Elephas maximus indicus: one gene and its partner. The protein of the gene in region 1 interacts with the protein of each later gene in a pairwise test. Links are inferred from orthologs where the notes say so. Each region holds a gene or a part of one and is shown on either strand. Other genes may lie near its edges.

Region 1 (15,672 bases):
AAAGCAGAGTCCCTGGAGTGAGAACCAGGCATCAGTATTTTTATTAACTCTCTCATCAGCCCAGTGTGCAGCCAAGGCCTTCCCCCATGTGTGCAAAGCACCTGGTACAGTGTCTGGCTCATGAATAACCGGTGTTTCCCCACGTGAATTTTTTTCTTTAAGTTATAATTAGTTGTTTCTTTTTACAGTTATCTTCTAATTATGGCAAGTGATTGTGGTTTTTCCATTTTGGGTGGTTATAGAGTTTCCTTTTAAAATACATACGAGTAAAAAGGTAAGGAAGTGATTTTTTAAATGCTAAGTAAATAATGGTGTAAAAATGTCATGAGGTTGGCATCTGACCTCCTGTCTCTTCCCAAGGGGGTAGAAGAATCAAGATCAACAGCCCAAGGCTGAATCCTATGAGGCAGAAGTCGGGCATGCCTCATCTCTCCATCTTTACAATTTCTGACACCAAGGGTCCCTTCCCATGGCAGTCTGTACTTCTCTGCCGGGTTCAATAATTCATTGCAATGGCCACACAGAACTCATAGACAATTCTCACAACTATGGGGTTTATTAGAGAAGTAACAGGTGCAGTAGGGGAAAAAAATCACAAAGTTTAGTAAAACAAAAAGGAAGTTTTATTCGGCACATATAAGCAGACAAGCATGATGTCAGAGCTAATGTCTGCCCGAATCCAAGGAAATATTACAGGATAAGCAAGAATGGGAAAAAGGACAACCATGCTGCCACAGCCATGTCTGCCTGAGTCCAGAGAATATTAATTACACAGTGAACAAGAATGGGAAAACAGACAAGCATGCTGCCACAGACATGTCTGTCTAAACCCACAGAATATTACAGAATAAGCAAGAATGGGAAACGGACAAGCATGCTACCACAGCCATGTCTGCCCGAGTCCAAGGAAATTACAGAATAGGTAAAAGTGCGAAAACGGACAAGCATGCTACCACAGTCAAGTCTGCCTGAGTCCAAGGAAGGTTAGAGTCATCAGTATATATCAACATTACAAATGGGCAAAGCCATTGAAAGCTCCACCTTTTCACAAATTGGCTAGAAACTGTGATCCTACATTTTGAATTGTCTTTCTTAACAATCACTGGTACAGGTTTCAGTAACGACAGTCAGGAGGGTCTTCATTGGTCCAACAAATTTCTATTCACTAAACGTTAATAGAAAAAGATAAGAGTGGAAAGTCTTCCGTGTTCTGGCTTATGTGAAAGTTCCCCTAAAAGATATTTTCCAAGATTATTCCATCTATTGTCTGTATACCTCAGGGCCCAGTTATTGTGTCGTTGTGAGTCCTTGTGAGCCCAACTCCAGCCGGGTCACATTCTCTATGCTCAAGGACAGGGAATAATCATTCCAATATTTTTTCCTAAATCATAGGTTACAGTTCAGGTTGAGGAACGCTCGGATACAGGTCTTCCATCAGGACTGCCTCTTCTCAGCTATGCTCGCAGGCCCGCCACCTCTGCCTTGCTGGGGAAGGTGTTACAAGCTCTTTTAACTTTGCTGATAAGGGCCCAGAGGCACCCTACTCCACGAGTAACCTTGGCCTGAAGGCACTCAGCTCTAGTCCCAGGGGTTGGCAAACCTAGCTCCAAGTGCCAGTAGGCACCCTACTCTACCAGGAAGCCTTCTGCCCAAACGCACTCACCTTTCTCTCTTCTTGGGCTGGGAAGCCTACCACGCTGCCTTCTGCCAGTCTCTCCTGCTGCCGTTTCTCTGCTACCGCTTCTCGCCATCTTCAGTGTTACGGCTCTCTCTCTCCCTCAGTCTCCTGGTTCCAGGAGCTTCTTAGTGCAGGGATCCTGGGTCCAAAAGACACACTCTTGGCCCTTCTTCCTTGGTGGCGGTGAGATCCCCTTTTTGCTTTGGAATTGGCTCTATTATAAGCCCAGCAGGATGGCAAAACCTACCACTCCCTTTTGTGGGCCACAATTAATCTTATTTGCACAGTCCAACCCAAACACTTGGATGGGAGTTACAAGACAATGGCGAGAAAGGCCACACAAAGGTAATCCGTCGCACAGCAAATGGTATAGCTTGAAGGCACATATGGCAGAAATCACGAAAGGAGAAACCCAGAGGCATATATAGTCAATAATGGTAGCTGTGACTATTGCTGTTATTGGTATTGCCTTTGAGGAGTGCCTTTAAGGTGGGCTTTGAGAAAAGGGTGGGTGGAGGAGGCCCAGGACTTTTGCAAAACAAACAATCCATAATGAATGTCTCAATTCTCTGCAAGGTGCTGTCAATCCTTTGAATCGTGGAAACCTGTAAGCCTCTGGGGAGAAAGGGGGGTTATTGGTCCTCCCAGCCCTCAGGAAAAAAACCAGGAAATTGGGGCAATAGACACGACATCCAACCAGAAGAGAAAAAAAGAAAGAGTGTAGGAAAAGTGTGAGTGAAGGCACAAAAGTGAGGTTCTGGAGAGCAGAGCCAGGTGCCTGTCTGGGACCCTAGTCCTCTGTGTCACTTTAACCCAGCCCAACCCCTGAACCTCCCCTAGGCCTTGATTTCTCCTTCTGCAGAGTGGGGGAGCTAGCCTCTGACCCCCGGGATCCTTCCAGATTCAAATGCCTGTAATACCAAAAATTGCCTTAAGCCTCCTGAAACAGCCACTTAAGTCTTCTCAGCCAGTGGCTGTGCCATTGAAGGGTGAAGCCAGGGAAGACCAACCAGAGACCAGGAGTGAGGGGTGGTGTAGGGCCTCCTGACAATGTCAGAGGACCCACTACACCAGGAGTGGCCACATCAGCTAGGGACATAGCATTTCCCAGCCCTTGTTTTCTTCTTTGAAGTTGAAAAGGAGGAGAGGCTAGTCGTTCCATTTGACAAGCGGGAAAACTGAGACTCAGAAGGAGTAATTGACCAGAAATTCGCTAGAACCTAGAATTCCCCACTGTCAGTACGTGGATTTTCCCAGGCTTATAGTAAAAAGGAAGCAGGCTTTAAAAATCAGACAGACCTGAGTTTATAAACCCAGCTCCTACAGGTTCTGGCTGTGTGACCTTGAGCAAGTTACTTAACTTCTCTGAATATCAGTTTTCTGGTCTGCAAAATGAAAGCAATAATAGTATACCCTGTTGGGTTGTCATAAGGATTAACTGGAGCAATGCCCATAAAACACAGAGTAACAACCCTATACAAGAGCTCTTACTATGATTTTCCAAACTTGACCCACCAAATCTGTGCTGAGCTAAGAGCTCGCTGCCCAGTGGTGCTCCTGCCATTTGCCTCCTGTGCTCAAGAGCTGACAGTGGCCCTAAAGCCTGATCCGAATCATACCCGCCTTGCAGTTTATGCCTTGAGCCAGGCCCTGATAAGGTAGTCCAATAAACATTTGTTGAATGAATAAACAAATAATCATGGAAAGAGGCATTTGAGAGAAAAACTGAAGGAGCTTCATGAGATCCTGGCATAGACTTACCTTGCGATCCCAAGGAGGGATCTGCCTGGGGTGGAGGTGAGGAGACTGGTGATGGAGGGCAAGTCAGGGAAGACTTTGAAGAGAAAGCAGCACTTGAGCTGAGCCTTGCAGGGTGGGTGGAATTAAGGGCATCTCAGACAGAAAGGACCAGAGAAACGGAAGCATGTTCAAGGGCAAAGAGGAGGGACAGCAAGTCAGGTTTCAGCTCACATCAAGGAGTTGTCCTGAGGTAGAAATTGACAACCTTCAAGGACAGTAAATCTTCCATCCCTAGTGATATTCAGGAAGCCCTGGTGGCGTAGTGGTTAAGTGCTACAGCTGCTAACCAAAAGGTCAGCAGTTTGAATCTGCCAGGCACTCCTTGGAAACTCTACGGGGCAGTTCTGCTCCGTCCTATAGGGTGCTATGAGTCAGAATCGACTAGACGGCACTGGGCTTAGCGATATTCAAGCAGCAGAGGCAATCATGGGGTGGGGTGGGGTTGGACTAGATACATTTTAATGTCCTTTCCACTCATGGATTCTGGGAATCTGTTATTAGGCTGGACTCAGAGGAGGTGGATGGATAGAAGGCCCGGAAGGTCCAAGCTGGTCTTTGTCTACTATGCGTGTGTTACTGCTCCAACGGGTGTCTCATTTCTCTGTCAACACTCTTGGGTCCCTAAGAACAACAGGCTCCAAGTTCTACAGACTTGGGCTTATGTGGAAGTTTACAGAAGAAGAGGAAAAAGGCTCTGCCCAGGGCCAGGCCTAGGGATTTTGTCCCCCCACTTCTGTTGAATCAGCCTATGGGCAATGTTTCTTGCTAGCATTTTCCAGTATCCATTCTTTCCTGTTTCCTTTACTAGTAAAATCCTGCCCTTCCTGAAATTTTGGTTAGCAGCTAAATATATACTTCATTTTCCAGTGTCTCTTGTGGTCAGGCATGTCTATGTGACTAAATTCTGAGCAGATGTGGTTTGTGGTCCTTTTAGGTTATACCTTTAAAAATGAATACGTGCGGACTACCCTGGTCCTTTCCCCCTTTGCTTTCCACAAGATGAGATGCAGATGTGATGGCGGGTCTCAGAGCAGCTATCTTGTACCTCGAGACGGAAGCCATCTTTTGAGAATGGCAGCACGAGCTAAAAGCATCTGGAATCCCTGACACAGTGGGATTGCCATTTTAGCCCAGGAGTACTTACCCTTGAAGATGTTACAAGGGAGAAATAAGTTTCTATCCTGTTTTGTGTGACTGTTCATTACAGCAGCCTGAACCTGTATCTTAACTAATATATCCTCTTAGCTCCAACCACGTCTCTTATTTGTCCCACATTTTTGCTCAAATGCTGGTACTGACACTGATACCACTGAGTGAAAACCTTCCTTGCCCAGCTGACCTCCTAGAACCCTGTCCTGGCAGCCCCCTTGGGAAGGGGACCCTCCTTGTGCTTGAGGACAGTAAGAATCCTTGAATTTGAGCCCTGAGTAAGCCAGTCCCTTCATGTTTGTAATCTTAGTTTTCTCCACTGTGTGGCTAGCACCAGTAAACACCGTTCCCTTCAAAAGGTGGTTTTATGCAACCACAACATAATCATCAAGATTTTGATCTTGGGTAGAGGCTGGGGAGGAGGGTTGTTTCATGGACAGTACTGCAAAGAAAGAGGAAATTCCCACGCACCCAACAAGAGACCACAGAAACGTATACATCACAACACATGCATAATAAACACACGCTCATGGCAGTCGAGCTCTACAAAACCAAGAACACCCCCAAATACGTGCACACAAAACGTTCTCATCGGTTCATGCAAATGCAGACACATGCAGACAGAAAGGTGCCCCAAAAAACACCCCCACAAAGAGAGAGGGGATACAAACACATACACAAGCTGCAGCTGCTGTATTTTATCTCTTTATTGTTGCTGTCACCCAGTTTCTTCAGCATCTTTTTTTGGGGGGGGTGTACCTCCCTAACTCTGCCCCTCCATTCTTTGTCTCATGCTCTCCATCTGGCCCTTTTGTTAGGGGCCCGGGATGCTTCCTTGGTGGCTCTTGGGGCCTCAGTCAGGTGGGGTAAGTCCTGGGGTCAAGGAGGCCTGGACCCTGCTCCAGGTCCTAGTTCCTCTGCAGTTCCGCCGCCGTGGTCCTGTCTCCATTGCCGTGGTGTGGTGTCTGTGCTCTGGCCTCATCTGCGGGGAGGGAAAGGCACAGAGACCTGGCTTGAATTCTGCCGCTCCTGCTCACTTGCTCTGTATATGCACCCTAACCTCTCTGGGCCTGTTTCCCTTTCTGTAAACCAAATTTCCCTCTAACTGGAAATACTGTTTCCCTTTTTGCTCTGGCTATTACCAAACCAAACCAAACCCAGTGCCGTCGAGTCGATTCCGACTAACAGCGACCCTACTGGACAAAGTAGAACTGCCCCACAGAGTTTCCAAGGACTGCCTGGAGGATTCGAACTGCCGACCCTTTGGTTAGCAGCCGTAGCACTTAACCACTGTACCACCAGGGTTTCCGCTCTGGTCATTAGGATATTTTATTCTGTGTAGAGACAACAGGAGTTCTGCAGACCCCTTTTCCTGCTTCTCCAAACCACACACATGTAAGCCTGTTCTTTTGAGGCAGAGGGACCTCCTTTGGTGCTCAGGGGGGCCCCCTGACTCCTTACCTCCAATTCTGTCTCAGGGACGTGCCCCTCTCTTTTTCTGCTCTGCATTCTGGAACTTGGTCACCAGTTTTCTCTCGTGCCCACCAGGACTGGGGCGGTTGGTGTTGGCAGCAGCTTCTCTCTTGGTGCGACCTTTCCGGCCACGTCCTCCTGGAAGCCAAGGCTGGTGTCAGAGGGGAGGTGGGCTGAGGTGTGATAAAAGAGTTCACAGGAGAGGCAAGTAGGCAGACTGTGGCAGGGTAGGTAAGAGCTTGGGCTGGAGTAGGGAGACTGGGAGGTTGTCACCCTGTAACTCTGGGGCAGTCACAATCCCTGTCAACTTGTTTCCTCATCTGTGAAATTAGAGACCCCAGACGATCTGTAAGTGTGTGCGGTCCCAGGCTGATTAAGACAGGGTTCAGTGGATGGGAGATCAAAAAGGGAGACTTAGGGGTCACAGGCTGACCTGAGGGGCCATGAGAATAGGTTGTCTGGAAAAGGGCGAGTGGTGAGGAGAAGTCCAAGGAGGGGTCCTGATTCGGGGTAGGGGACGGGGTTGTCAGCATTTGTGGAGGCCAGGGATTAAAAGTGGAAGGACCAGGAAGGTGGCAGAGCCCTGGGGCCTTACCCAGGTAGGAGTGGGTCAGGCTGTACAGGTCATACTCATCCAGGCTAGAGTCCTCGTCCTCTGGGCCCAGGGGTTGCTGGGAGGGGCTGGCTGCTCCTGGAAATGCGGCCATCATGTCTGGCTTTCTCTCACTGCCTCTCTTCTTTGTCTTCTTGTAAAGCTTTGTTTGTGTCTGGTTTCCTGACTGGGCACCTCTCCCCGTCCAGTTCACTTGCCCCAATTTATAAGGCCACGTCTCCTCCTCAGCCCACAGTCTGGCTCCAGTCCCTTAGGCTCTGGCTGATGCAATCTGGCCCTTTCCCAGAACCCGGCCTAGTAAACACAAGTCACGAGAGGGGAAAAGAGTTGGATCCTGTGAATCCCAGCCTCCCTCACCCTCTCCCTCTCTCCGGGGTCACCCAGCTGGGGATTTTTCCACAGAGGTGACCCCGCCCTTCGGGGAAGAGGAGAAAAGAGGGAGAGCCTAGATATAAACAGTTATTGGGATCTTGGCCAGTGGGGACCTGACATCCTCACCTGGGCTGATTCCTTCCTGTCCATCCCCCCTCTGATCCTGTACCCTTCCTGAGCCTGGGGTTATGGCCACACAGATCATCTTCTCCCCCAATTCTGGTTCAGATTCAGGACTGTGATGGCAGAATATAGAGTGAAGAAGGAAGGGGAAGGGAATATCAACATGTGTCCTTCTTAGTTCAACTCCACTACCATTTACTCTCTACCTACTGTGGGCTAGGTCAGTGGTTCTCACCCCTATCACACCCAACACCCCTTTTTTAAAGAACTATCTTGGAAAATCTCCTTAATATTCTGAAATGGGGTCCCTAGGTAATCTCCCTCCCATGAGAGGGAGCTAGCAGAGTAGTTAGAGAGTAGATTTGTGAGCCATACGCTCTGGGTTCAAACCCCTGATCCACTACTTCCTGTACGAGCCTCTCTGTGTCTCAGTTTCCTCCTCTGTAAAATGAGGATAATAATAATCGTACCTACAGTAGGAATCAACTTGACAGCAATGGGTTTGGTTTGGTTTTTTACCACATAGAGTTGGTGTGAAGACCAAATGAGATAATACATGCAAATGAACTCACAACAGTACCTGGAACAGTGTAAACACTATGTAAGGGTTAGTCATATCATTTCAAAACAACTCAGTGCCCTAACTGAAATATAAAGGAGACACAGAAGGAAATTAATTTATAATACAATGTGTTTCGTAACATGGATCTACTGAGGTAGAAGACATAATGAAGTAAACAGATATTTGTGCATATTATGAATTAGTATGAATTTAAGGAATGTGTTCCAATAAGGAGCCCTGTGGTGCAGTGGTTAAGTGTTCGGCTGCTAACCAGAAGGTCAGAAGTTCGAATCCACCAGCCACTCCTTGGAAACTCTATGGGGAAGTTCTACTCTGTCCTATAGGGTCGCTATGAGTTGGAATCAACTCGGTGGCAGTGGGTTTTTTTTTTTTTTTTTTGGTTCCGATAAGAAACAAGTGAAGATGGAACATTCCACTCTTTTCTCAAGGATCTGAACTGTGTGGGTCATGTTGACCCAGAAAGGCTATGGCCTCAGTTGTTCACTCGTGTTTTCCTAAGGCTTATACATGGACTCCCAGCTCTTGCTGTCCAGGGTGAGAGAACTAGGCAGTCACAATATCACAACAGTCTTTTTTTTTTTTTTTCTTAACCTGATTTTAAAGTGTGAATTTAAAAAAAAGTTTATTGTTTTGTTGAGAATATGTACAGCAAAATGCAGGCCAATTCAACCATTTCTACGCAGCAATCCTATAGGACAGGGTAGAACTGCTTCGATAGGGTTTCTAAGGAGCAGCTGGTGACTTTGAACTGCCAGCCTTTTGGTTAACACCTTTAGCCCTTAACCGCTACACAACCAGAGATCCATGTACAATTCAGTGACATCGATTACATTCTTCAGTTGCGTAACTATTCTCAGGCTCCTTTTCTGAGTTGTTCCTCTTGCATTAACGTAAACTCATTGCCTCCCAAGGTTCCTCCCTAATCTTGCCAGTTGCTGTTGTCACTTTGATCCCATATAGATAGTTGTTCACTATTTTTTTTTTGTAAACTCTGTAGTTTCCAAACAAAACAGGACCTTTTCAGCCTGGGTCAGTTGTTAATTCTCTGCTCACACCCCCACTTTGCTTTGAAACCATTAAACTACTGTTCTGTTTCAGTGTTACCCAAACTTCACCCTTTCCCCAAACCCTATAATAACCTGTCTTGGCCTTTGTTTAACAAGAAGCAGCACTTTCGCCTGACTTCCTTCCTTGCCTGAGCCGGAATTAAATTTAGCTTTTGTTTTCCAGCTTTGAGGTGGAAAAATTAGGAAATACGATGTTCTTCCAAAGGGGTGGGCTTTATTACTGAAGGCAGTAGAAAAACAATTTCCTCTAATCAGACTTGGAATGAGGTTGTTATCGTTGTTAGATGCCTGAGTCGGTTTTGACTCATAGCCACCCCATGTACAACAGAACTAATCACCTCTACAGTCATTATCTTTATTTAAATTGAGGTTATTTCCCTCTTATCATCTGGCCTGTTATAATCACAATCCTGTGTTTATTCAAGTGTTCCCCTGTCCTCACTTTCATTTTCATTTTCTGGGTGTCAACTCACAAACCACCCAAAGCTGGAAAACAAAAGCTTAATTTAATTCTGCCTCAGGCAAGGCAGAAAGGCAGGCAGAAGTGGTGCTAGAATGAGGTTCAAACCAAAAAAAACCAAACCCACTGCTGTCCAGTCGATTCTGACTCACAGTTGCCTTATAGGACAGAGTAGAACTGCACCATAGAGTTTCCAAGGAGCGCCTGGCGGATTCGAACTGCTGACCTCTTGGTTACCAGCCGTAGCACTTAACCACGACGCCACCAGGGTTTCCAGAATGAGATTAGGTTCAGATAATTATAAATACGTTTTTTTACCTTCATGAATGTCTAGCAGGACAGTCAAATATCATGTAGGACGTGAGACAACACTTTACTTGTGGGACTGTTCTGCCCTTTCCTTTTCAAAAACACCCCCACGAATCCCACATATTCCCAAGATGTCCCCTAAAGGGACATCCTGGCCCTGTTGAGGAATAGGTCATTCACTCATTTCCCTCTTCAGCCAGACTTCACTAGTTCCTAGCTGGGAGATATTGGGCTCCCTTCTGAGTCTCAGTTTCCTCATCTGTAAAGGGAGTGTAATAATAGTGCCCAATGCGTGAAAGGGCTTAGTCCAGAGCCAGGCACAAGGTGAGTACTATTACTTCCCCCATTCCCTCAAAGAAGGAAAATGAGGCTCAGAGAATGACTTGCTCAATGCCACATAGCTAGTGAGTGGTGAAGGATTCCTCCCCATGGTCCACCTGACCCCAATTCCAGTGCTCCTTCTAAGTCAGCACAGCTGGTCAAACAGTGGCACAGGTTTGGCTGCTCTGTGTGGAGGCACCTGTCAGGGGTTACAGAAAACTACACAGGCCTGCAACCTCTGGAAGGTGTGTGATGGGGGAGAAGGGGTCCTTAGCACATTAATGCACACCCCTCTCTAAAATCCCACACATGGGGAGGGAGGAGGAGAGGAAATCACTAACTAGTTAGTAGACAAGGATCAACATTGGTGAAGGGAAGGATAACACAAAATACAGAGGAAGTCAGCACAACTGGACCAAAGCAAAAACAAAGAAGTTTCCTGGACCTATCCAAACACTCTGAGGGACAGAGTAGCTGGGGCTGGGGCCTGGGGATCATAGTTTCAGGGGACATCTAAGTCAACTGGCATAACAGTTTATTAAGAAAATGTTCTACATCCCGTCTTAGTGAATGGCACCTAGGATTTTAAAAGCTTTCGAGAGGCCATCTAAGATACTTCAGTGGGTTCCATCCTACTCGGAGCAAAGGAGAATGAAGAAAACCAAAGGCACAAGGAAAATACTAGCCCAAATGACTAAAGGACCAAATGAACCAGAGATTCCAGCAACCTGAGACCAGAAGAACTGGATGGTGCCCAGCTACCACCAAGGACTGCCCTGACAGGGAGCACAACAGAGAGTCCCGCACAGAGCAGGAGAAAAATGTAGAACAGAACTCAAAATCGCATAAAAGGACCACACTTAATGGTCTGACAGAGGCTGGAGGAACCCTCGAAACTAAGGCCTCCAGAGGCACTATTAACCCAAAACTGAAACCATTCCCGAAGCCTACTCTTCAGACAAAGATTAGACAGGACTGTAAAACAAAAAATAACACACGTGAGGAATGTGCTTCTTAGTTCAATCAGATATACAAGACCAAATGGGCAGCTCCTGACCAAAAGCAGGGTAAGAAGGTAGGAAGGAACAGGAACTTGTCAAATAGACACAGGGAACCTGTGGTGGAAAGGGGACACATGCTGTCACATTGTAGGTATTACAACTGTCACAAAATAATATGTGTATAAATTTTTGAATGAGAAATTAACTTGAGCTGTAAACTTTCACCTAAAGTACAATACAAAAAAAGAGAAGAGAGGAAAAAAAAGAGAAAAGAAAAACACCACACATATCCCCCAGTTATTCTTTTTTTTCTCTCTCTTTTTTTTAATTGGGTGAAAACATACACACCAAGACATCCGCCAACACGACTTCCACATTTACAACTCAATGACACTTATTACATTTTTCACGTCGTGCCGCCATTATCGCTATCCTCATCCAAAATATTCCACCACCATTAACTTAAACTCAGTGCTCTCCCCCAACAAAAACTCCCCTTTTCCACCTTCCTTCCACACCTGCTAACTATTAACAATCTTAGGTTTCTATGTGTTTGCTTATATTTCATATAAGCGAGATCATCCTTTTGTGACTTACTTTGCTCAGCACAGTGTTTTCAAGGTTCCTCCGTGTTGTGGCATGCACCAAGGCTTCATTTCTCTTTATGGCTGTATAATATTCCATTGTATGTATATACGACATTTGTTTATCCATTCATCTGTTAATGGGCATTTCTTTCAGCTGTTTCCACCAGTTTGCTATTGTTAAAAGTGTTGCAATGAACATTGGTGTACAGGTTTCTGTTTGCGCTCCTGTCTTTATTCATCTGGGTACATACCTAGGACTGCGATTGCTGGGTCATATGGTAGTTCTATGTTCAACTTTTGAACCATTTTCCACAGTGGAGGCACCATTCTACACTTCCACCGACAATGGATGAGTGTTCCAGTTTCTACAACCTCGCCAACACTTGTTTTCTCTTTTTTTTCAATCATTGCCATTCGAATAGGGGTGAGGTGATATCTCATTGCAGTTTTTATTTGTATCCCTCTCCCCCAACAGTTATTCTTTATCCCACTACCCTGATTTTATTTTACTTTCTTCATAGCATTCAGTCATTGCTAATCGAATGTATGTTTTTATTTGTTTACTTCTCTATTATTTGTCCACTAGAATGCAATGATTGGGTCTGGTTTAGTTACGGTGAAGGCAGTAGGATCTGGAGCCCTACTGCCTGAGTCCAAAGCTTGGTTCTGCCACTTGTTAGTTGCATAGGCTTCGATAAGTTATTTAGCCTCTCTGTGTCTCTCAGTTTCCTTTGTTAAAAATGGGATTAATAATGGTACCTACATTGTGGGAGTATTGTGGGGATTAAAAGACCAATTCTTATAAAGGCTTAACACTGTGCCTAGAACATTGTAACTGTTCAACAAACGTTAGTTATTATTATCAGTATTAATTGGGGAAGGAATCTTTTTTTTTAATTGTGCTTTAGGCGAATGTTTACAGAGCAAATTAGTTTCTCATTAAACAATTATTACACATATTGTTTTGTGACATTGGTTGCCAAACCCACAATGTGTCAACACTCTCACTCTCTTGACCTCAGGTTCCCCATTTCCAGTCGTTCAGGTTTCCTGTCCCTTCCTGCCTTCTTGTCTTTGCTTTTGGGCTGGCGTGCCCATTTAGTTTTGTATACGTGGTTGAACTGCGTGTGTTATCGTTTGCTTTGCTTTATAGGCCTGTCTAATCTTTGGCTGAAGGGTGATTGTCTTAGTTATCTAGGGCTGCTATAACAAACAGAAGTTTACTCTCTTACAAAATAGTAGACTAGAAGTCCGAATTCAGGGCACCAGCTCCAGGGCACCAGCTTCAGGGCACCAGCTCCAACTCCGCTCTAGAGGAAGATCCTTGTCATCAATCTCCCCCTGGTCTAGTAGCTTCTTAATGCAGAGACCCAGTCCAAAGGACGCACTCTGCTCCTGGTACTACTTTCTTGGTGATATGAGGTCTCCCTGTCTCTCTGATTGCTTCTGTCTTTTATATCTCAAAAGAGATTGATTTAAGACACAACCTAATCTTGTAGATTGAGTCCTGCCTCATCAACATAACTGCCTCTAATCCTGCCCCATTAACATCATAGAGGTAGGAGTTACAACACAGAAAAATCACATCAGATGCCAAAATTGTGGACAATCACACAGTACTGGGAATCATGGCCTAGCCAGATTGACACTTGACACTTATTTTAGGGGGACACAATTCAATCCATGACAGTGAACTTCACGAGTGACTTCAGTACTGAGTTAAAAAGGTATCTTGGGGTTTCTCCAGTCTCTGTCAGACCAGTAAGTCTGGTCTTTTTTTGTGAGTGTGAATTTTGTTCTACATTCTTCCCCTGCTCTGTCCCAGAAACTGTATTGTGATTTCTGTCAGAGTAGTTGGCGGTGGTAGCCAGGCACCATCTACTTGTGCTGGACTCAGTCTGGTGGAGGCTGTGGTAGCTGTGGCCCATTTGTCCTTTGGACTAATCTTTCCATTGTCTTTGGTTTTCTTCATTTTTGCTTGATCCAGACAGGGTGGGACCAGTAGATGTATCTTACATGGCCATCCAGAAATTTTAAGACCTCAGACACTACTCACCAGAGTAGGATGTAGAACATTTTCTTTATAAACTATGTTATGCCAATTGAGCTAGATGTGCAATTCAGAGGTCCATCGCCACGGGTCTGAATAAGTAAAATATGGGTGCCCACTATGAATATTGCACAGTCGTTCTAAGTAACAGGTTAGGTGTACCTACAACAAGAACAGGTCTTAAAAGTACTGTGCTGAGTGGAAAAAGTAAGAACTAGAATGAGGTTTATAGCACAATGCCATTTAGGTAAATTAAAAATACATGCACACTAAAGGAAGAAAGGAAGAATGAAGAAAACTAAAAATACAAGGGAAAGATTAGTCTAAAGGACTGATGGACCACATCTGTCACGGCCTCCACCAGTCTGAGTCCAGTACAACTAGATGGTGCCCAGCCACCACCACTGACTGCTCTTACAGGGATCACAATAGATGGTCCTGGACAGAGCTGGAGAAAAATGTAGAACAAAATTTTAACTCAAAAAGAAAGGGCAGACTTGCTGGCCTGACAGAGACTGGAGGAACCCTGAGAATACGGCCCCTAGACACCCTTTCAGCTCAGTAAGGAAGTCATTCCTGAGGTTCACCCTTCAGCCAAAGATTGGACAGCCCCATAGAACAAAATGAGACTAAAGGGGCACACTAGCTCAGGGGCAGGGACTAGAAGGCAGGAGGGGACAGGAAAGTTGGTAATAGGGAACCCAAGGTCAAGAAGGGAGACTGTTGACACATCCTGAGGTTGTTTACCAATGTCATAAAACAGTATGTGTCGTGTTTAATGAGAAGCTAGTTTGTTCTGTAAACCTTCATCTAAAGTACAATTAAAAAAAAAAATACATGCACACTCAACCATGCCCATGTTTCACAAGGATACACATGTACACTATTGGGGGAGGAGGGAAGAGTGGAGAAGGGATAGAAGGTTATTAAAACATAAAATGAGAGGGCCGTGCAGAGCCCAATGACGACAGTGCACCATGAAGTGAGAAATATGAGTGTCTCGACCTCTGTACCTGGATTAAAAAATAAAAATCTTTTGCAGTTATGCAGGCAAGGGCAGAGGCAGCATGAAATTGGGTGAATGTGGCAGAGGTGAAAAGTGGGTGAATTGTGTTACAGGAATGAATACCTGTAAAGCGTTTTCAATAGTGCCTGATACATAGTAAGTGCTCAACAAATGTAAGCAGATATTTTTAAATTGCAGACCCTTAGTGACAGATTAGATGTGGGAGGGGAGGAAAAGGGTGATGCCAAGGATCACTCCCAGGTGCTGGCTCCTGTCATTGTGCCCAGTAGGAGGTGAGGAAATGAAAACCGACGATAAATAATTCTTTTGAGAAATCTGGATGGAGCGGGGCGGGGGGCGGGGGTGGGGGGGGCGGAACAGAGCTATCCCTTCTGTGTGCAACACTCTAAAACACTGTTTTTTTTTTTAATTATCCAAGTAATACATGTTCATTATAGAAAAATTAGAGATTAAAGATACATCAGTTGCCATCAAGTGAATTCTGACTCACAGCAACCCCATGCGTTTCAGAGCAGAACTGTGCTCAGTAGTTTTCAAAGGCTGTGATTTTTCGGAAGGAGATCAGGTCTTTCTTCCGCAATGCGGCTGTGTGTATTCAAACCGTCATCCTTTCAGTTACTAGCCAAGTCCGGGGGCTAGAAATTAACGTTACATTAAAAAATGTATAATTGTGAGCCCCGAATTTCTCCTGATGAGTAACTGGGGGGGGGTCAATATTTAATCTTTAGGAGAGAAAGCCCCTGAGACCTTTACAAACACAAAATTTGCAAAGTCACTGCTAGTACAACCTTCATAAAATGTAGTATATAGAACTGAGACTGGTTAGATGCCATTTATTGAGATAGGGACTACAGGAAGAAAGCTTGATGGAGGAAAATCATATGTTAAGTTTTGGGCTGAAACGGCTGCAGAGTTGAAGTTTGAGATACTCTAATGAACAGAAAAGTATTTACTGAGGTCCTAAATTTTTTTTTTTATTATTATGTGCCAGGCACTGTGCTAGGTACTGGGAATACATAGGTAAGACAAATGATCCCGACCTCATGGAGCTGGCCAGTC
Region 2 (16,897 bases), on another chromosome or scaffold:
TTAGGATTTACATCCATGTCTCATATTATTATGTAAAATAAATGAGAGAATGCATATACAATTCTTAGCACAGCTACTGGCACAGGCTAAACATTTAATAAGTAATATCCCTGGGTGGTAGAATCGGTTAAGCGCTCAACTACTAACTGAAATATTGGCAGTTCGAACCCACCCAGAAGGACCTCAGAAGGAAGGCCTTGAGATCAGCTTCTAAAGGCCACAGCCGTGAAAACCCTATGGAGTAGTTGTACGCTGCACACATGGGGTAGATCACTAACCACATGAAGCTCCTCTGATCCGGAAGGCTTTCCGCTCCTGCTGACTGGCAGAGCCGGGTTAGATTCTGAACCAGCCATGGTCCTGACAGGAGACCCAATAAGCTCATCTGCTACTCAAGACAGTAGCATCATTGATTCCTGCCCCAGTGATGGTTCTCAAACCTGCTGTTCTACTCCTGAAAACCCCACCCAGATATCTGGGGTGGAACCCAGACTGCAGCGTGATCCTGAATGAGACCCACTACCCTACGACAGTGGCCTAGTTCCATTTCCCCTGATGCTCGCTCACCTCTTTCTGATGTTCTTCTTAAGGGCAGGGTCTGCAGCTTTCATCTGTCTAGAGAACCAAAAACAAAAAACTTAATCAGAAAACCACAGTACTACTGTTACGTGTGTTGTCAACAAGGCAGGACAAAGCCTGAGTTTCTGAGTGAAGAACCAGAGAAAACAGCCCAAGCTTGAGAAGCTCTGAGGGTTCATGCACTTTTGTTTTACCACAGACTACTAAAAAAGGTGTATTAATAAGGAACAGGCTTCCCTCCCCTGACCACACCCAACCACCAACCTGACAGACCTCCTGCTCAAGATCAGGTCAGCTTTACTCATGGGGGAACTGAGAGCTGTGCTGGGAGACACACATATACACACACACACTACAACGGGGCTGGACTGTGCTCAGGCCAGCCACCTAGTCCCCACATCCCATAAATATCACTTAGGGCTGGTGTTGGACCACAGTACTGCCACTTGCACACTCAGAGCAATGAGTAAGCCTTGCTGTGTCTCTTCAGAACAGACCAGCACGTAGGGTTCTGACGAACTGCACGGCAGTGCTACACTGCTCTAGGTCGCTGCCCACAGGCCACCCATTCAGATGGCACGTGCTCCTGAAAACCCTGTTTTCTCATTCCTGGTGCTAAGCAATTTCCAGCAAGATGCTCTCATTAGATACCAATGATCTGACTCTTACCCAGTCTCTCGTCTTGGTTTGATGATTTTTGTAACATCATTCTCTGAACTGCCTGAATGAAAAAGTCTGGTAATGTCTACTTCTTTGGACTTAACAGGTAATAGACTTTTAGAAGTAGCTCGAGATTGTTTGTCTGTAAAAGAAACAAGAGTGTGAAACCTCAAGCAGCACGACCCAGCTGCTGCAACCCTGTAACGGAGGTCCATTCCAAGTTGTCATAAACCATGCTGGCCAATCTCAATTTTGAAGATTAGTTCGGAATAAGACTTCTGCAAATAGAAACCAAAATTCTTTAAATGAGCGTAGCCAAAAGCTTGATGAAACACCAGACTGAATGGCTGGAGGGTACAATGTGAATGTGGAGGTTGATAAAAGCAGAGAACTAAATGAAAGGCAGAGTGGAGGACGGCAGGGCAGAACACAGCTGAGTCCTTTGTCAAGCACCACTGGAACTGTACCATTTTCTTAAGCTTCCAAGTACTCTGCACACCCTCCTAACTCAACACTCAAGCTGCTTCGTTTTCTTTTCATTGCTGCTGTTGTTGTTTTAGTAGCCCCTGGGTGGTGCAAACAGTTAACGTGATTGGCTGCTAACTGAAAGGTTAAAGGTTCAAGTCTGTCTTGAAAAAAAAGCCCTGGCAATCTACTTCCAAAAACTCAGCCACTGAAAACCCTATGGAGCACAGTTCTACCCTGACACACATGGGGTCACTGTGAGATGGAATCGACTCAATGGCAATTGGTTGGTTGGTGGCTATTTTCCCCAGACTGTATCCCTAACAACTCAAAGAGATAATCTGTGTGTCCCTAGCCTAGTAGAGCATCTGACATATTAATACATTTTCAATAACTGTTGAATACATGTAACACTTCAGTATCAGCGGCTGTTTCACAAACCTTCATCCCTGAACTGAAAGTGTCTCCTCTGGTCTTCCTTCCCTCTTCCATGCTGACCGGCTCTGCCACCAGTCTTTTTAACCTGTTTATCCTCCATAAGTTAAAACCAAAACAGTTGCCATCGAAGTCAACTCCAGCTCACGGCAACCAGAAGTGGGTCAGACTAGAACTGTTCCATAGGGTTTTCAATAGCTGATTTTTCTGATGTAGCCTGCCAGGTCTTTCTTCCAAGGCACCTCCGGGAAGACTTAAACCTCCAACCTTTCAGTTTGCAGCTGAGCACATTAACTGTTCGTACCAACCAGAGACTTCCCGCTAAGTTTTGTTGCTGTTGTGTGCCATCAAGTCAATTCCGACTAATAACGATCCTATAGGACAGGGTAGAACTGCCCCATAGGGTTTCCTAGGCTGAAATCTTTACTAGAGCAGATTGCCAGGTCTTTTCTTCCACGGAGTGGCTGGTGAGTTCAAACCTCTGGCCTTTCCCTTTTGGTTAGCAACTGAGAGCTTAACCACTGAGCTCCTTCCAGGGCTCCTTCCATTAAGTTTAGAGGTTCCTACTTGGCATTATTCTGATTTTCTTGCTAAGCCATTGCCAGATAACACAAATGGCCCTATCATGCCACCCTTCTCTCCCAAAGGAGAGCATTTTCCCCCAGCCCTTGTGCCAATTATCTACAATTCCTTTTTCACAGCAAATTCAAATAACTTATTCTGGAGTTAAGCACTCCCCCTGACACACACACACACACACACACACACACACACACACACACACACAGAGGGGCTTTTCTAGCTTATACTAACTTCACTCTGTTCACTATAAAATGGCTCTCTTAAGCTTGATATACGGTTAAGAGCCACAACAACTCAGACAAGTTGAAGAAATGGGGTACAAAGCACTGGAACATACAAATAAAAACCCAGTGCTGTCGAGTCGATTCTGACTCATAGTGACCCTACAGGACAGAGTAGAACTGCCCCATAGAGTTTCCAAGGACTGGAAACTGGAACATAAAAAAACTAGGAAATTGGTTTTGTATTTGGTAAAGACTTTATTTTGAAAACTCTAGCTAGCAATAGTTTGGAATGAATAGGATTTCTCGGGTTACCAGTCTTTCCTTTATAGGTACACTCAACGGGCAACTTCACTACTTTAGATACCATCACCCACAAAGCAAATATTAAAAGGGCTCTTTTTGACATCTCTGTCTGAAGTAAAACGTAACTTTAGAGGAATATATTTTACCTTCTCCTGTCTCAAGTATTAGTAAACTCGTTACTGTTGAGTCGATTCCAATTAATAGCAGCCCTATAGAAGAGAGAACTGCCCCACAGGGTTTCCAAGGAGCAGCTGGTGGATTCTAACTGCCCTCGCCTTTTGGTTAGCAGCCAGGGCTCCCAAGGATTAATAAGTTATACTCAATAACAAATCAGCCCCATGTAAAAATGAGTTAATAGTAAATCGATCAAAACGATAAAATGATCGTTGACTCAAATTGGTTCCAATAATCCATATTTCTAGAACCCACGCACTGCAGTGAAGGAGAAACATTGTAGGATTTAACACAACTACCTTAAAATGGGAGACACTAGGAGGGGAATTAGATGGTGGTGTCGTGGAAGGTGTGGTGCAAAGAACTAAATCTGGCTTTCTGTCTATGGTTTTTGAAAACAGACTGAGCAATTAAAGTGCTCTTTGTTTTTTAAAATAGCCAGGCAAGTAGGGGCTACATACACAGGCCCCATACCTGGCAAACTAATTTCAGGAAGGAAGGGGGCAAGACACAATCAATCCTACATATCCACCGAGATCCCAACGGCTAGAGGACCCTGGGCTTGGGGCTGTCTTTTCGGGGCTTCCAGGACTGGTAAGAACATCATGCACAGGGGAGGAGCAACATGTGCCTGGAGAAAAGGGAGGCCGCGTACAGGGCCTCTCCCAGAGCTTGCCAGATGCGTCACTACACTGGTGTCCTGTCTGGTTATAATAAGTGGGTAACTGTAAGTACAGGTAATAGTCTCCATGAATTTTGTGAGCCATTCTAGAGAATTAACCAGCTCATGAGGGTTAATGGGGGTTTAGTGAGAGTTGGCAGAGAGGCTAGAAGGAAGAGTCCTAACTTGTGGAGACTCAACTCTTGAGCGGTTAGGGTCAGAGAGAGAAAGGGGCATGTGGGTGGCTGGTGTTGAAATGATGAAGTGGGAAAGTAGGGCCATGAGTTAGCTTCACATTTTGGAAATTAGCCCTATGTTATCCACAAGGAAGGGAAGGAGACTTGTTTCTCACTTCATATGGTTCTCTAACAATTTTTTTTTTACATGTGCATGTATTACCTACTCCAAAAACTAAAACACAAACAACTGACCCATACCCAAAATTGGAAGAAAAAAGCTGGGAGGCAGCCTAAAAATTTTTAACTGTTGAGGTTATGTACGATCATGAAGTGGAGGACAACGTTAGGAAGCAAAGACACTGAAAACCTCCAACTTGGCTGGGGAGAGCTAGTCACTCCCCACTGAGCAAGGGGCACTGCAATCTAGGGAGACAGCGGAGCTAGGTCAGCAGATGTGGTGGCTTCGGGTCTTCCAGCAATTCCTCAGTCCCTTGCTGACGTGGGGATTAACGCCCAGGTGTTCTGAGGCAACAGAAGCTGTTAAACCCTTGGAGAAAAGCCTGTTTACCCCACAGATCAATCAACCCTACTACTGCTCATCAACTAGCTGAAAGGAGTCATCTGGGAAAGGCTCAGAAATGGCGGCTTCATCATCTCCCACAATAGTTTTCCAGTGCCTGAAGCTTATTCTGTGCTATAATCTCTAGATTAGGCAGCTGACAACTGCAGATCCTATGCAACGACTTTCAACCACAAGCAAGGTAACAAAGCCAAGTGGCCAAGCAATTAGTTGTTTTTAATCATGTCTCTCTCTTCTTTATTCTCAAATACTGGGACTAGGCTGATCCCTCTCTCCTTTCACTTAACAAACATTTATTGAGCCAGTACTATATGAGAGACACTGGGAAGGTATAAATGTGAAAAACATGACATGGTGTCAACAACCTAGTGCCTGCCGTCCCCCCCGCCGCCCCCCACCAAGTATCCCACTTCCCAAACGACCTGGACAGTCCAGGCCCTCGAGACTGTCTACACTGGAAATAAAAGTGGTAACTCGTGAAATGGCAATTCCTGGCTTAATGGGAATTAAAAAAAAAAACCACAACTGACGAGTCGATTCCAACTCATAGCGACGCTATAAGACAAAGCAGAACTGCTCCACAAGGTTTCCAAGGACCGCCTGGTGGACTCGAACTGCCGATCTTTTAGCTCGCGGCCGAACCCTTAACCACTACGCCACGAGGGTTTAGTGTAGACCAACCAGCAGCTTGAATCTAAGCAGCACGGGTTAGGTCTTGGAGGGTAGCAGGGCAGGTCTAAGGCCCCACCACTTGACCCTTCCCCTAACTCCCAACCATAAACCTAGAAAGCCTGGTTTTAAGAGTAGGTTGTTAGAGCCGACGGAATGCACTCCCCCGGTCCGTGCCCCCATCCCCGCACACACACCCCCCTACCACTACACGTCGCTCTGCAGGGACCCAAGGGGGACCGAGGTTGGACACCCACCTGCGGGCAGGCCGCCGCTCAGCACAGAGGGGGGCTGCAGAGTGTACACTGTCTTAACTACGCTGGTCATCGTAACGAGGCGGCACGGCTGGACCCTGGAGGATGCAAGGGTGGTGTCAGCTATCAGGCGCTGGGCCGCCCGCCCCAGCAGGGCCCGCCGACCTAGCCGGCAGCCGGGCGCCCAAGCGGGCCGAGGGTTCGGGGCGGGCGCGACCTGACCAGCCCCGGCTCTGGGGAGAGGCCGGGAAAGAGAGGACCTCTTCGGGATGACCTTTACACTTGATCCTAGCCAAAAGGCCGAGAAGGATGAGTGGGAGTTAACCAGCCCATTCCGTCCGCCCCCCACATTCAGCGCAATCCCTTGTCCCAGGAGAGCCGAACCCGGGAGCCCGCCGCTCCGGCCTGCAGTCCTCCTCGATCTCGTTCAAAAGACGCTCTGAAGTAACTGCCGCACCCGGGACCGAGTCCGCCGCCTCCGTTTCAAATGGAAACTTCCGGTAGCTGGGCGGGAGGGAATGAGATTCGGCTTCCGTAGGCAGCCATGTTGTACGGAAAATACTATCCTGGCCTATGGCTTCAGGAGCTGCCATGCTGTACGGTAGATTCGAGTAGAGGCGGGAGACTGACTTTCCCAGCCACTGGTGTTGGAGCCCGCAGGTCTCAGCGGGGTGCACTTTACTGGCCTGAGTGGAGCTAATGAGCCACCCGCGTCATGTTCTGGGCTTGGGACACAAACGTGGCCACGTTGAGAGTCCATGTTGTCACAATCCTTATTATTTGGTCTGTGATTATTAAGGATATATTATTGCATGATGTCTGATTACGTAGAGCACAGGTTATTTGGATTCGAAGAAAGCTTCACGTTACAGGGTGGAGAATGGCAGGTGAGACTTGGAGAAAAGCCTGTGGACTGAAATACCTGAGGCACCTACCTGCAGTCCTAACTTTAATGGCATTTATCCAGATTTTAAGCAGAGATTCAAAGCTACTTCTAATAACGGGGCAGAGTTCTCAAGCACTTAACGCATTCACTTATTCATTTCACTCAACAAATGTTTATTGAGTACTTGCTGTGTGCTATGGAGCACAGCCACTATCCTAACTGGGTGAAGGGACAGCAAAGTTCAAGAGTAATCTTATGTCTGCCCTTGAGTTTACAATCTAGTGCAGGAAATGGTAAATAAATATATGTACATATTTACCAATTGTGGTAAAACTATGAAGGAAAAGTACAAGGTATTATGAGAGAGAATAGCAGCAGAATCTAGTTTAAATTGGGCGATCAGGAAGGACCTCTCTGAGGTGATGTTTGATTCAGGAAGGATTAGTGGGAGTTAACAAAATGAATACAGGAGAGAAATACAAACCCTCAGGGCAACAATAGGGTTTTCTCCTTTTTTTTTTTTTGAAACATTTTATTGTGGTTTGATTGAAAGTTTACAAAGCAAATTAGTTTCCCATTCAACAATTAGTACACATTTGGTTTTGTGACATTACTTGCAATCCCCTCAATGTGACAGCACTCTACCCCCTTCCTCCGTGGGTACTCTGTTTCCATTAGCCCATCTTTCCTGCCCCTTCCTGCCTCCTGAACTTTGTTTTTGGACAAATGCTGCCCTTTTGGTCTCATATGGTTGATTGTCCTAAGGAGCAGCATATTCCTCACAGGTGTTATTATTCACTTTATATGCCTACTGTTTGGCTGAAAGGTGATATCTGGGAGTAGATTCTGCTCCAGGTTTCAAAGGGTGTCTAAGGGCCATAGTCTTGGGGTTTCACCAGTCTCAATCATACCAGTAAGTCTGGTCTTTTTTATTAATTCAAATTTGTTTTACATGTTTCTCCCACTCTGTCCAGGATCTTCTACTGTGATCCTGATGAGAGTGGTAGGTAGTAGTAGCTAGGCACCATCTAGTTCTTCTGACCTCAGCCTAGTGGAGGCTGTGATTCATGTGGTCCATTAGTCTTCTGGACTGTTTCCTTGAGACTTTTATTTTCTTCACTCTTCTTTGCTCTGGACAGAAAGAGACCAATAGTTGTATCTTTTAAGATCCTAGACGTTACTCACTACAGTAGGATGTAGAACATTGTGGACTATACTATGCCAATTAACCGAGATAACCCCCAAGAATATGGTCCTAAGTCCTCAAGTCCAGTGACCCAGTCCTTCAAGGTGTTTGGTTATGGCTAAAAAGTTTTCATAACTGTGCCCCCTGTGCGATCTACTATATATATGGATATAGTTGTAGTAAGTACAAATACATATGTAGAAATATCCTCTGCCCAACGTATATATGCTCCTGGGTGTACTCCCATATACCATCCCACACCTGTTCAGCTTACATTACTCCCTATATATCTACTCATAAATTATTGTTTGTTATTACTGTTTTTGGCAGGATTGTGTATGAAATAGTATTTACTGTCGTTTCCTTTTACTCTTGCGTTCCTCCCAGCATCCTCTTTGCCTTGGTCATGTTGTGCTGACATCCCCCTTTATTGTGTATTGCGTTTCCCTTCACCCAAGTTACTACCTTTCTACTATCTAGTTAGTGATTTTCCCTGTCTCCCACTCCCATTGCTGGTAACCATCAAAGAATGTTTCCGTGTTATAAAAATTGTATGGTAGAGGAGTCTGACTTCCTCTAACTTCACAAGGGAGGAGAATCAAAATCCATAGCCCAAGACTGATTGCTACGAGGCAGAGGTCAGACATAACCTCCTCTCCAACATTTTACCAGTTCTGACATCAACTATTCCTCCCACATCACTCTCTGCTTCTCTGCTGGGTTCAAAAATTTGTTGCAATGGCCACACAGAACTCACAACGATACTCACAGTTATGGGATTTATTAGGGAAGTAACACGTTATAATTCAAGTTCAGTTTCTTCTCATCTGTGCTCACAGACACACCTCTCTTTGGCCCCTCTGCTCTAGGCCAGCCTTTGTCCAGCTCAGGCAAGTGTTACAAAGCTCTTTTAGTTCTCCCAATAAGTGCCCAGAGGTACCCCACTCAGCCAGTAAGCATCAGCCTGAAGACGCTCAGCTATAGCTCCCTGGGTCTGCAAACCAAGTTCCACCAAGTGCCTGGAGGCACCCTATTAGCAAGCCTCCTGCCAGAAAGTGCTCAGCTTTCTCACTCCATGAGCCGGAAAACCCACCACACCATCTCTGGCCAGCCTCCTACCTTTGTTGCAGCCATTCCTGTGCTGCTGCTTCTTGCCATCTTCAGTGTTACAGCTCTCTCTCCTCATCTCCTGGTTCCAGGAGCTTCTTAGCATAGGGATCCTGGGTTCAAATGACATTCTCCACTCCTGGCTTTTCTTTCTTGGTGGTGGTGAGATCCTCCCTTCCCTCCACTGGGATGGCTCATTTTAAGCCTAGCAGTATGGCAAAACTGACCAATGTCCTCATTAGGGTTCCATACACCCTATATTCATGGTCCCATCCCCACAAGGGTGCCATGCCCCTTATTTCCATTATTAGCAAGCTATCCAATCCTCTTGGTGGGTGACAAGTGTTATCGCAATTTCGCGAGTTAGAGCCGCCTGCCCCAAATAGCCAATTCTTGAGACAGGGGTGAGGTGGGTAGCAAGAACTTTATTAGATGTACCGGTGTATGGAGACAGAGGGGAATGATCTCCTCCTAAAGTCCTCTGTCTCACCAGACTACCGATGGGTTCCGGGTTTTTAAGGGAAAAGGGGCTATAAGTTTTAGGGACTTGTGGAATGTGCACTCTCTTTCTTCTGTTTGGTTTTGGTGGTCCTTTCTCAAACATGTTGCTGTTTTCCTGCCATCATCCCATCAGCTCAGGGGGTAGCTGGCGCCATCCTTCATCTTATTAGACAGGCTTATATCAATATCACTTGTTTTCCACAGTCTTAGAGGAAACATTGGTTAACACTTAACCATTTGGGGAGCTAACATCAGGATCTTACTTGGAGACAGGGATGGGCTAGGGGAGGGAAAGGAGAGAAAGAAGAAAGAAGGAAAAAAATTGGCTCAGGTTCTGTTCAAGATATGGCTGAGCACTCTGTTTCAATTCCCCCTTTTTGTTGTAGGTTTCTCAATCTTGGGAAACAGGGCGCCATATCTCTAGCTGCTTCCTGTTGGATGGGGGCGTGGAGGCCTAAGGGTTAGAGAAGTGGAACTCTTGTGTTGTCTGTGTTAAATCACTGTATCTCTCTTGTATCTATAAACCAAGCCAAAACCAAACCTAGTGCCATCGAGTCGATTCCAACTCGTAGCAACCCTATAGGACAGAGTAGAACTGCCCCATAGAGTTTCCAAGGAGCGCCTGGCAGATTCGAACTGCCGACCCTTTGGTTAGCAGCCGTAGCAATTAACCACTACACCACCAGGGTTTCCCTTGTATCTATAAAAAAAAAAATAGTGGCCCTTTATTAGGCTGTTGCCTCTCTTCTTCTTGGGTGATGGGTTGAAATTTCTGACCAACCATCGTTTGGAGCTGGAACTTTTAAATCACTTGAAATGACTCTACCCTTCCGGGGAGAAGGCACCAACTCATTAAGGCATACACCGAGACACATAAGCTTGTCTGGAGACAGGAACAACACAAGCAAAGGTTAAAATAGAAATTAGTAAAAGGGCTAGAGCGAAACAATTCTTAATACTTCTATATTCCTTATTTTTATGATACTTATTTACTGGTCTTTGTTTTGTCTCTTGAATAGCCACTTAAGTCTTTACACTGGTTCATATATTTTTTAAAAAAGGCAAAAGTGGGAAGCAGACAAGGGTGTTGTTGGAGTCGTGTCTTTTCAAGTCTTAAGAATACAGGGTATAAAATGAGCAAAACCATTGAAAGCTTTACTTTTTCACAAACTGGAAACTGTAATCTCGTATCTTGAATCATCATTCTTAACGATCATTGATACAGGTTTCAGTAAAGAGAGTCAGGAGGGTCTTCATTGGTCTAACAAATTTCTATTCATTAGATGTTAATAGAAAAAGGTAAGAGTGGAAAGTCTTTTGTGTTCTGGCTTATGTGAAAGGTTCTTTAAAAGACATTTTCTGAGATTATCCTATTTATTGTCTTTATACCTCAGGGCCCAGTTGATGTGTCCCTGTGAGTCCTTGTAAACCCAGCTCCAGCTGGGTCACATTCTCTATGCTCAAGGACAAGGAGTAATGACTCTAATATTATTTCTTAAATCATTCCCTCTTTTTGATTGGAGATTGGAGATACCACATTTGATGATCAATACCTGGACTTAGTCAAGTTCCTAGATGGCGACCATGGCAGGTTCTTTAAAGTCACGGTGCTGTTTTCCACCAGATAACCATCTGGTTCTTCACCAGGATCTTAAGAGCGATGTTCTCATCAATCATACTGTTAAAGTGAGCAAACTCAATGTACATCAACATTTTAGCCCAAAGCCTTCTTTTGTCTTTAGGTGTGTAAGACAATAGAAGTTAAGTTTTATTATGCCTAATACTATGAGGATGTAGACTAAGAATATTACTTGTAGTAGTGTAAATAAATCTGGTGTTTGTAAGGGTGTTACCGTGTGTAACCAAGTAACTTGCTGTCCAATTCTACTTGTATATTCTGTCCTTCTCTTGTGTTATTTATCTAAATGTAACAAGAGGTATTTGCTACAGCACATATCACACTTTTTTGGACCAATAAATAAAATCTAAGCTTATTTTGTTATTTCATGTCACCTTGGCTTAATGAGGTCAGAGATCACTGTTGTGTTTCTATCCCACTAGCAACTTTGTCATTTGTCCCATAGTGATTGATAAATTTCTTAAAGATTTCTCTAATTCGAATATACCATAAGTAGGAATTAATGTTACCAACCATACCCTGAGTGTTGAACCAATAGACTTTCTTCTGACTCTTGTTTTACAAAGAATAACAAATTAACATTACCTTTCCAGTATTTACCATGAATACCTAAAGATAATTTTAAAAGTTCTCAAAGTGTATTGCCCATGCATTCGCCAGGAATCTAAACGAGATTATCCATGTAAATTCACTATTAGTTAGAAAGGAATTATTTAAATTAGTATAGTTGGATCCACCACACAAAAACATATTTATAAGGCACACTAAGTTAAGTTTGTCTAGAGAAAACAGAAGGTATGGAAAATTTACTTGTGACAGACAAGTTTCTATTAAGAGCACATGATTAGCAAGATAATACAGGAGGGACTTCTGTTGGAGGTTTTTAGTTAATTAGTTTAAAACATACAAAGTGTTCTTCTCAATGGCAAGCTGTCCTTCTCTGGTTTACCTATTAACAGTCATGGATCACTTCTTTTAGAAGCAGAAGTGAAACCTAAGACAGAATGGAGTCAGAGTCATGAGGTCGATCTCTTCCCAGAGCCTGGTTTTTTTTTTTTTTAAAGATCTTTGTAGAGAAAGAAGGTGAGAGTTTGATTACAAACATTAAACAGGTATTTCATACAGCATTGTCTTGAAGACTGATAAAACTGATTACTGATTTACCCTAAACATAACTCTATTTACTGATCTTGGGAGTCAGTTTCTCAAAACAGACTGAATTCTTCAAAAAATAAAAATAAAAAACACAACGCCCAGAGCAAAATGGTCTTGGCTAGTTTATCTGGGCAATTGTTTGACTCAAAGTGGCTTCAGGAATGAGTTTTTTTTTTCAAGGCTTGAGGTTCAGAAGGACACCCAAGGCGATGGCCTATGTAGGTTGCCCCAACCTCTATGAAAGCCAGAAATCTGGATTTCAGGAGAATTATATACACTCTCTCACAGCTCCCTCCTTTGGATCATGATCTTGTTATAGCATCTTTGGCCAAAAATGTTCAATAAATGATAATTGGGCATCATCTGGTTTTTAAGACCCCCAGGCACCAAACAGCAAATCAGGAGGTAGAATAGAAACATACTAGACCAATTGTCTGAAATAATCAATGAAACCATGACCCTAAGGTCTTTGAACCGAGGAAACAAATCTCGTGAGGTGTTTGTTTATGTCTAAGCAGCATCAGTAACTGCTTTTTGTGTGTCTCTGTAGCAACCACATTCTGTAAAACTTATGACTGTGTATTAATATAAATACAGCAACATTTATTAAGGCACAAACTATTCCTTGAGAGAACTAATAGAAAGTCTAATACTATTCTAATCTGTAGAATCAGTCATAGCTCAAATTTCAGGCACTCTTCTGGTTATGATATTTACAACTTTCTTAAGTTTACCAACAGGAACTTCTAATTCAAGATTTAAAATAACTAAGCCCATTAAAAGTTAGACAATTTAGGAGAAAAGAGGAAAATGGTTTCTTACATGTAGAAAATAGGACCTTAAAGTATTATGTCCAGAAAGAAAGACCTTAAAACATCAGAAATATTCTCACATAAAACCCATAGTATTGTTTCATTTACTCAGTCTTACGTAGTTAACTTCTGTTGCAAGTGATCCTGGATCGGCTGCAGTCTGTAAAACCATCAGCTTCTACATAGAGGTTCTAGAAATCTTGACTGAGTCTAGTCACAGTCTTTTTCATAAGTCCAATATACCACTACACCACCAGGGCTTCCTAAGTCCAATATAGTCCATCTTTTTTTGTTGAGATATTCTGGTCAAATGTTTTCAGAAAATCAGTAAAGTAAAAACTTATCCGTAGATGACAAAACTTAATATGGTCATGATTAATTTATAAACATAATTCTTTATAGTGAAAGACCCAATAGAAATTAATTACAAGCATAACATAAAGGCCAAATAAAATCAGTTAAAAAAAAAAAAACTTTAAATAAAAATATTTTCAATAATAACATTAACCATATTTTTAAAAACTTCCAATGTAACACATAATAACCTTGTGACATAATGCCATATAGTCGGGATATCCCAAAAACATTCTAAGATTATCAAGTCTCTAAATACCTGAAGAGTAATTCTTCATTTAATCTATTGGCTTTGATGTTGCTAGATTCAAAAAAATATAGTTTTCACCAAGTTAGCAATCATTTGTTGCCTAATAGTAGGCAAAAACACAAGAGGAAATACCAACATATAAATTTTAACACAAAGAGAAAGAATCAGGCACTGCTCATGATTTTAACAACGTTCTATGTAATTTATAGCATGTTAAATAAACTTTTTTAGCACTTTTTTTAAATAAAATTTTGTGGCTTCCCAACTTGTCAGGAGTTTATCGTAAGTTACTAAGAACCAATACTTTATTTAACCAAAAATCTTAAAGTAAAAACCTTAGTTTTCTTTTTTTTTAGGCCATATTGTTTGGTTTCTGACTCAGAAATCTCATTGTAATGACAGACTGAACCTTTTCGTCTTTGAAGCAGAATACAGAAAGAAGATATTAACTCTTTAACTGAGTAACCAAAGAAAATTTTATTTTAACAGCGAGAAACCTAATTCTTTGTTTTATATGCTATTTAGCATTAAAGTTCTTAAAAATCTCATAAATTAAACCATTAACTTTAGTCAAACAGATAGAACTTTTGACCGTTATTAAGAAAATTTATTTTTTTCAATAAACTTCTTAAATTTTTTGTTGTTGTTGTATGTCTCTTACGGTACATCCTCTTAACCAGCAAAAATGAAATCATTCATTAAACCCAAAAAACAAACCCAGTGCCGTCGAGTTGATTCTGACTCATAGGGACCCTATAGGACAGAGTAGAGCTGCCCCATAGAGTTTCCAAGGAGCGCCTGGTGGATTTGAACTGCTGACCCTTTGGTTAGCAGCCATAACATTTAACCACTACGCAAAATTAGCAGACCTAAATACACACATATGTATTTTTCTTTTTGGCTCCTTAAAGTTCTCTTACAACAGAGAGAACTTGTTTAGAGTTCTGTTTTGTTTTGTTTTGTTAAGGCACAAACTATTCCTTGAGAGAACTAATAGAAAGTCTAATACTGTTCTAATCTGTAGAATCAATCATAGCTCAAATTTCAGATACTTTTCTGGTTGTGATATTTACAACTTTCTTAAGTTTTAAGTTTACCAACAGGATAAACTATAGTAAAACAGCACTTTTTTATCTTTTGTCTTAAAAGAGCTTTTACCTAGTTGAAAGGAATCTTTTAAGAGGTTCTCTGGAGCTATAGGAACCTGGAGACGAGGGCTGGGGGCTGAGAAGGCCTGATCTTGCCCCGCCCTACCTGCCTTTTAACTGTAAGTAGAAGATAAGATTAGGTCATTTCTGATTCTTTCTGATTCACATTTAAATTGACCTAGGCATTTTGAAAGGCTATTTACCCAGGAAGTACCAAAGCTCTTTAGCAATTTTGTAAATGAATCCATCAATTTTTAGTTAGGGAGACTGGGGGCTGGAGGGAGTCATCCCAGTTCATTTACATATGTTTAAGTGCACCTAGGCATTTTGAAAGGCAAAAGATAACAATTTCTTTCTCTTTATCTCAGAGTAAACTTGGCAGGCCAGTTCTATTAGTCAAGAGATTTTTAACCCTATACTTCTTTCAGTTTTTGAAGACTTTTTTTTTTTTTTTTCATAAGAAAAGAATTTCTAATGTTTCAGGATGCACCCTAGGGATGAATCTCTTAGTATGTTTTCTTGGTTTTTCATTCTGTCTAACTAACTATTCTCAAGAACCTAGTTTTTGGTTTTTTTTTTTATGGGTAGTTGATACCACCATTTTTTTCTTTTAGTCTAATAGGAATTTATTTGTCTCACGCATTGCAGCCAAGAGTTTTCTGAGCTCTCGGAGAGAACCTCTTTTTAAAATCTTAACACCCTGCCCTGAGTGTTTTCTGTATTGTGATTCAAATCCCAGTCTAGACTGAAAATCTGATCTCCCCATGCATCTCTCCTTTTCTTTTCAGCCCAATCAACAAATCCTCAGGAGTCTCTATGTTTTAACTCACCCTGCATATATATTTTTTCACCAATCACTTTCTATGCATCACACATAAATTCCACACAAGACACAGAGGCAACAGAGATAATCTTGCAGCCTCAACCTCTCCGACAGGCAGCCAGGCTACAGAGGTGATCTTGGCAGCCTCAACCTCCCAGACAACGCCCATCACACATAAGATTCACCCATAAGATAAACAAACAGAGCACTCGGACCAGACAATCCAGAAGGGAAAAGGGGAATGAGGACAACTTTAGTGAGGTCTAACACATTACTAGGAATGTCTCAATCTCCACTTCAATCCTCCAGATACCTCCTATCCCCTGTGCCAGACAGAGGGTCTTCAATCTCCCAGTCTAAACCGACAGAGATGTCTATACCCACTCCCCAAAACCAGGGTGCACCAACCAGAGACAGAAAACAACCCAAACACAAAAACCAACGGCCGATACACACTCATACGCCTGCCCAGCTTTAGAGTCACCAAGAGTCCCTCCTTGCGATCCTACTCACGGGGACGGTCATCCAAGGCGCCACTCGCCTTAGAAACTAAGGGCCCGGGTCCAGTTCCGGAAGCCACGCTGGCCTGCCCTATCCGCCCTGGCCCTGAGCGCAATACGGAGAGGGTCGCAGACTCACCTCAGGATCCTGGTTAGGTCTTGCCTTCACCCATCTCTTTGGCGCGGTTAGGGACTGGTGGTGCTGCAGGGCAGCCCGGGTCTGGGGACAGCCTCCGGGGACAAAGAGTCCTCAGCGGCCGCTTGGTAGGAGAACTGTCGATCAGGCCCGGGCCCCGCCGTGGGATCACCGTGTCTCAAACGGCTGGAGTCCCCCTACGGACCACCAAATTGTTATCGCAATTTCGCGAGTTAGAGCCGCCTGCCCCAAATAGCCAATTCTTGAGACAGGGGTGAGGTGGGTAGCAAGAACTTCATTAGATGTACCGGTGTATGGAGACAGAGGGGAATGATCTCCTCCTAAAGTCCTCTGTCTCACCAGACTACCGATGGGTTCCGGGTTTTTAAGGGAAAAGGGGCTATAAGTTTTAGGGACTTGTGGAATGTGCACTCTCTTTCTTCTGTTTGGTTTTGGTGGTCCTTTCTCAAACATGTTGCTGTTTTCCTGCCATCATCCCATCAGCTCAGGGGGTAGCTGGCGCCATCCTTCATCTTATTAGACAGGCTTATATCAATATCACTTGTTTTCCACAGTCTTAGAGGAAACACTGGTTAACACTTAACCATTTGGGGAGCTAACATCAGGATCTCACT

The links.
Region 2: the proteins of NUPR1 (region 1) and KNSTRN interact in a two-hybrid assay, tested with the Homo sapiens proteins (2 studies listed by BioGRID and IntAct). The link is inferred for Elephas maximus indicus from reciprocal best matches to the Homo sapiens genes NUPR1 and KNSTRN.

The regions. Positions count from the first base shown.
Region 1 is NC_064830.1:88,999,791-89,015,462, forward strand, and holds NUPR1 (nuclear protein 1), read right to left. Parts: upstream 6,906-15,672; 5' UTR 6,811-6,905; coding exon 6,696-6,810; intron 6,239-6,695; coding exon 6,102-6,238; 3' UTR 6,089-6,101; intron 5,610-6,088; 3' UTR 5,315-5,609; downstream 1-5,314. UniProt on the Homo sapiens protein: Transcription regulator that converts stress signals into a program of gene expression that empowers cells with resistance to the stress induced by a change in their microenvironment.
Region 2 is NC_064828.1:15,630,045-15,646,941, reverse strand, and holds the start of KNSTRN (small kinetochore-associated protein), read right to left. Parts: upstream 6,359-16,897; coding exon 6,150-6,358; intron 5,864-6,149; coding exon 5,769-5,863; intron 1,382-5,768; coding exon 1,249-1,381; intron 616-1,248; coding exon 568-615; intron 1-567. UniProt on the Homo sapiens protein: Essential component of the mitotic spindle required for faithful chromosome segregation and progression into anaphase.